2 linked regions of the Drosophila melanogaster genome follow. The protein of the gene in region 2 interacts with the protein of the main gene of each other region in a pairwise test. Each region holds a gene or a part of one and is shown on either strand. Other genes may lie near its edges.

Region 1 (2,820 bases), on a different chromosome or scaffold from region 2:
TGGGTCAAGGCCCATTGGATTTGTTAGATAAGATCAGTTCATAAAATAATAAATACGTTTGTTAAGTAATAAAATCTAAAGCATTTTATAATGCTTATTTCTTAATCTTTTAAAAATTCTTTTATTTAAATTGAGTATTTTAACATCGTAACATTTATCCTATGTGTATAAACTGGAATCCGCGAGCGTCTTCCTTTGAGTCTCCTGCGGATCTATCGGTATCGAATCCAGAATTCCTCACCGCATCGTTGCCCCAATTATTTCTATCATTGCCACTGTTATCCAACGATTCCAGTAGCTTCAGAGTCCTATCGTCATCAGAACTGTGAACACTATCGCTCCAGTCCAAGTTGCCACCTGAAGATCGTGTTCTTCCTCCTTCGCCACCGAGGTTTATATTCTGAAATATACCCGATGCACCGATCGCGGTATAGATTAATCCAAACAGCACCAGCAGTCGGAGAATGGATTGCATTTTTCTTTCGATTAGCTCTGGCTACAGTTGACTGAATGTCAGTCGGCTCTTGAGCTGGGCTTTTATAGCCTTGCCCTGGGTTATCAGCAGTTCTAAGTGGTTGGTTTAAAGGTGATATGTATACTTTTAGACAGAGGTGAGTGCGGGAAATTCCAGCTTAACAGCAACACAGCTTACCACAAGCTTAATTGATATACTAAACGAGCTATTAAATTCAATCTATGACTAGTATTTAATGCGTACTTAAAATCGAAATTGCGGAGTAGGCAACATTCATTATCAAAAAATGAAGATCTCTTGATTCTCTCTTGATTGATTTCATTTTAAAATTTCTAAAAACTTTCTTTTATTTCCCTTAATAATTATTATTGAAGAACTAGATTATTTACAGACAATAGGATAGCATGACTTAGCATTACAGCACTACTAAATAATTCCATATTAAGTAGCCGGTTCGGTGGTAATATCCATAAAATCCAAAGTCGTCTCATCGTCATCAAGACTTGGATAGTCAGTTGAGTTCTCATGAGCTGCATCGTTCTCCTGCCAGCGTCTGATCAGCTCGTCCATTGCATTCATGAACTCTTCGGCACTGTTGTATCCACTGCCAGATTCCTCCAAAGCATCATTGGTACCTTCCGGATCTTCAATAAGGTCGTGCGGATGGCCGGCAATTAGAGCAGCACAAATGATTCCGAATAGGAGAAGCAATGATATGATGCGGCTCATCATGCTGATCAATGCACCGCCGGCAACTGCATAGCCAGATGCAATTTCTTTCGTTTTTATATGGATCGTGTCGGTCAGTAATAAGTTCAATGGAATTCTGGAAAATCCAGTCTGGGCTAAGCCCAAGTGGCAAGCTGCTTCGATTTCCTCATTCATATTTATGCGTTGGGCGGTACTAGAGTCCCCTCTGAATCATCGCAGACCCAGCAAGAGCAAGCATTGCGCATACGACACGTTGCCACTTGCGGATCAACAGTCATGCAAATAAGTCTATGATTAATTCCAAATAATTGCTATGTCTGTTGAGAAAATTCTCGGCCATGCCAATCATCTGTCAGTTACTAGAGTTGTGTTAGTTAGCTGGGTAGTCAGAAAATGTACTCTAAATAAGGGATTATAAACTTAGCAAAGCGACTGTATTTCATCTTTCCTTGTAGGCCGATGTGAGTGCTGCCGGCAACCCTTAAATGACTTGGCTGCCAGCATCGAGCACTTTACTCCGCTTCGTTGCCTCAATCCTTCGTTGGCTCCTCCGGCACTTTATTCAATTTTCCAAAGCGCGCGCACTCAGCTGCCAGTACAACCTCACTTTGCCACCCCAAAAGACGGGAGCCCATCCACGAAAACCTGTGGTAAAAACATGCAATCTACTCACGAGGCTAATGCCCTTTTATGGCATTGGAGTGTGCCGCATCAGCAAAACGGTGCTGAATCGTTGCTGCTGTAGCTGCAGCATTCAACCATCTAACCACCATGCGAACAACACCATTAGATGGGCCACCAGACTCGATTCACGGGGGCTGCAGCTCATTATCCTCCGGGGAAGCAGACGCCCGCCCATTCACCGAATTGCTGGTGGACTTGTCTGCAAATATGTCGCTCATTTGCATCGCCATCATTGGAGTCTAAGACTGCGCCATTGAAATCAAAGTAAGCTGTTACACGGATCGTTTTTAGTCATTTCTAAAACGTTTCAGAAAATTCTTTATATAATATAAAAACTCTGCTGGCAACTGAAATAATAACCACAAATATGTTTTTAATTATTTTAATATCCTCAACTTCAATTCTATAATTAATGTATATTTTAAAAAATTTCAAACTTTTTCTGATGCTTTTGTATATTATGTCGACTTGCTAGCAAATGTCAGTCATTTAAAAATCGCCGCATACCAGCGGCGCAACAAATCAAAGTTGGTTTTGAGTTTTGTTTAGTGGTTTTTAAGCCGACATGAATACCCACTTCTAGGTGTATAGAACCTTAGCAAGTGCCATTAAAAAGATACAACTGAAATAGCCCAGGCACTCCGGCATAAAAGTACGACAGTCAGTCAAATTAACATTTCAGTCACACAATGACCTTCACCTAGAAGCCATCAAAGCGTACCCAAACGACGGCCCAGCCCTAGCCCCAAATCCCCTGGCTTCACCGGAGTCCAAAGCCAAAACCAACTTCAACGCAACGCGACCAAATAACATAAAAACCAAAGTCAATCAAAAAAAAGAGGAGGAAAATAAATATTTTTCAGCCAATGTCTAAATACCCTTTTCGAAGCTTCAATGATCAATATCATTGATAATACTGAAGTTGTAAAAATAACTCGATTTTAATTATG
Region 2 (3,567 bases):
ATTCATTTTAAATATAGTTCTCGGGACATCTGGTTTTCGATAAAAGGTCTTAATTTATCCGTGGGTTCCTCCTATTCAGGGTTCACAACGGCGGCATACGAACATGCCAAAAACCATGCCCATCCCAAAGCATATTACATAGGACATGATTGTGTTTACTAAGGAAGGGAATTTGAATATCACAAGATAACGAATGGAATTTACAGAGACTTACGCGGGTATTCTTGGCGATGAGGAAACCAACGATGCCACCAACAACGAATGTTATAAACCGCTGCATATTTTAATGAAACTTGAATTCCCGAGATATTAACGGAAAATTTGTCTTATTTAAGAGCATACAAAACGTACACTTCGTTCTGACTGTCGATGGGAAACTGATTACTTTAATTTGAAGCACATTATTATAATGGAAAAAACCAAGCGTACTTGATTCTATTGTAATTTACCTTCATAATTTTGCTGAAAGAATTTTCTAAAGCGGCTCCTATGTATTCTGCGATATAAGATAACCCACAACGCAGCCAATAATAAAGATTAGAATCCATTCCATTTCCGCCGATAACTTTAATTTTAGGTGTTCGAGCGACCTAAATAGTTCAAAACGAATACGTTATGAGCTGACTTTACTAGAAAAGCCAACTTATTTGATACGGTAATGAATAAGTATTCATGTTTAGCAATGCTTACGAAAATATTGATTACCTTATTGATTAACTTAATGGTCATTGAGAAAATCAATCCCAATTTCCAGTCCCTTTTCTGCCTGCTATGGCACTGAGCTTGCTGCATGCTACATCACTAGCTGTACTGCTTGCAAATCTTCCATTCTCAAGCAATTCTCCAAAAATATAATGAATACGAAAGTTTAAATTTTATTTATTGTTCATTTTAATATATGCAATGTTCCTCATAATTGATTTAAGTTATAATTTTCTTTTTGGGAGCTTAGGCTTAGCACTTTCGGCAGCTCATCATTCCGATAATCACGCCCAAGGCGAAGGATATAACGTGCGTCATTTTGATTTTTTCTTAGGTTTCGAAAGTAAGAAAATGATTTCAAGCGCTTGATACCAAATGTTATCTTCCCAATCAAAATCCAGTCCAGTCGGGATTTTGAATTTCAGGATGGCATAAGATTTCAGGCGAACTTTACCCAAAGATTTCTTGCCTATCCTCAGGTATTCTTGGCCACGACGTATCCCACCAAACAGCCAGCTAGAAATGTAATTACCCAATCTACATCCATTTTATAAAACGAAAGTAGTGGGTTTGGAACTTGTAAAGCCTAAAATAAACTAAAATTGAGTGGTTTGAAAAAGCCTACCACAAATGCAAAGGAGCTCTTACCTTTTTCTAATTATGCTTGCCTATCAAATACCCCACAATACAGCCTACAATAAAAGTGATGAACCACGAGTTATCCATAATTTTCAGCCCTAAAGTATCAGTACTTTTTGTTAGGTCTTTTTGAAAAAATTGTTAATTTAGAATTTTGCACTTTAAAGCGACAATACTATCAATGAAATAGAGACTAAGGAGTTTGATTTTAATTTTAGAAAAATGCATTTTACATAACGTTTTGTTTTTGGCTTTGTTTTTCAGATGTATTAGAAAAAAGGATTGTGACTTTAGCCTAGACATTATAAAGAAGAAGATAGGATGCTTAAAGAAGGATCCATTTTGAAAGGATTGCGGTCGAAGAAAGTACTGGTGTAATCTTAAACCTTAGGCATAATGAGTGTTAGGTTTTATCAAGTAGTTTACGAAATAAACGTCAAATACTTAACTCACATCCAAAGGCAACACAGGCCCCACTGTTCTAAATTTCCCATTCGGCTAACATCATTTTTCTGATTTTTTTTTTGGCGTAAAATTAACACGTTATTAGAGGGACCCTGTGATTGCGCGGACATCTAATCCATAATCCTTTGAAGATGTGCGACAAGCCCGCCTGCCCCCCGCCTCCGCGATGCTGTCCTCCGCCACCGCCTCCCTGTCGCCCGCCGCCCACCTTGTGGCAGAAATTGAACTGCGTTCCGTGCAACCGTTTTGTGTTCTTCATGATCGGGGCGGGCATCGGATTATTCTGGGACCATATGAAGAAGGAGGCCCAGAAGGCGGCCGAGGAGGCCGCGAAATCGCCCAAGGAGAAGGAGAAGGAGGCCAAGGAGCGCGAGAAGAAGCAGAAGGAAAAAGAGAAGGCCGAAAAGGAGAAGGCGGAGAAGGAGAAGAAGGAGAGGGAGAAGAAGGAGAAGGAAAAGAAGGAGAAGGAAAAGAAGGAGAAGGAGGCCAAGGGCAAAGAGAAGGGCAAGGAGGGCAAGTAACGACTATAGACCCCCAAACGGACATGTCAAGGAGCAGGATGTTTTCCCCCAAAATTCTCATCGAATCCATATCGTTTCTAAACTTCAAAATTTTCAAGTGCATTATATGGCATACCTAACGATAACTATTGGTCAGTCCATTGCCGCGTTGATGGAAGGCTTCTTTATTTACTATCTAGTGTCCACCCTTATAATTCCAGATCAAGTAACAAGATCGGATGGGATATTTAACTGGAGAGAGGAAATGCCTTTGCGAAATTTGGATAACCATATCAGGCTTAAAATTATACATCACCCGAAAATTGAAATTTACATTTTGGGTTCGTGATGATTTTGAGATATGATCATGATCTATGTTCTTACCGCTAAGGCTTTCTAATACGTTGATATTCTATTAAAAATTGTACAATGAATACACACCAAATGTATTGCCCTCTGCAAGGACCCAAAATTAGTAAATTTATCTAAAGTTATTCAACAAAAATTTGAGAATATTTGTGGTTGGTCAATCAGACTTTAATTATTATACAAAGCATAAGATTGCAATTTTTAATTGTAATAGGCACTTAGTTATCGGTAAATTCGATGTTCATTTTCATAACTCGTTACTCGTAGTTTCGTTTAAAAGAAAAAGAATTAGAACGCGTTTCTTGATCAAGATCAATAAGGAAGTCGATCAGGTGCTCTGCAAATTTTGTTACAGGACGATTAATGAAATAATCAAATCATGTCACTAAAGTACTATTTACAAACATTTAGCGAACAATTGCTCCCACAGATTTGAATAATGAGCCCATATTAAAAACACAGTAAGTCTTGTACAGCACCAATTTTATAGCATTTTCAACAGAGGAATATATAATAGAGAATAGATCAATCGAATAAACCTGTATTAAATGTGGCAGTTAATTGTTCGATTGACAAATTGCTCTTTAGATAAATTTATCGACTGAGAAATTTCCTCTCCATTCCATTCATCGGCGGACAAACTTATCGAATGGCATTTTGTCTTCCCTGGCTAACGCTGCAAACGGTTGGGTAACTTCATGGGTGATGATGAGTCCAGGTTCAATTAGCTAGTGCCAGGCTTGGATGATTGATATTACCGCCGGGCATGGCAGATCGGTCAGTCCTACTTCTTGGCCTTGCCTTCGTCCTTCTTTTTGCCGCCCGACTTGTCGTCCTTGTTGCGCACGAAGAGCACGCCCAGTCCCACCCCGATGACGAAGAACAGGACGCG

Evidence for each region.
Region 1: the proteins of CG46298 (region 2) and CG16978 interact in a two-hybrid assay, tested with the Drosophila melanogaster proteins (one large-scale study listed by BioGRID).

What each region holds. Positions count from the first base shown.
Region 1 is NT_033779.5:13,142,391-13,145,210, forward strand, and holds CG16978 (uncharacterized protein), read right to left. Parts: upstream 1,233-2,820; 5' UTR 1,208-1,232; coding exon 917-1,207; 3' UTR 824-916; downstream 1-823. Other genes in the region: CG9928 (uncharacterized protein), read right to left, coding at 155-475.
Region 2 is NT_033778.4:10,351,579-10,355,145, forward strand, and holds CG46298 (uncharacterized protein), read left to right. Parts: upstream 1-1,789; 5' UTR 1,790-1,937; coding exon 1,938-2,327; 3' UTR 2,328-2,458; exon of another isoform or gene 2,459-2,527; 3' UTR 2,528-2,811; downstream 2,812-3,567. Other genes in the region: CG46305 (uncharacterized protein), read right to left, coding at 76-147; CG43172 (uncharacterized protein), read right to left, coding at 156-158, 215-280; CG43200 (uncharacterized protein), read right to left, coding at 488-553; CG43178 (uncharacterized protein), read right to left, coding at 955-1,020; CG43171 (uncharacterized protein), read right to left, coding at 1,178-1,249; CG43201 (uncharacterized protein), read right to left, coding at 1,357-1,428; CG12902 (uncharacterized protein), read right to left, coding at 3,460-3,567.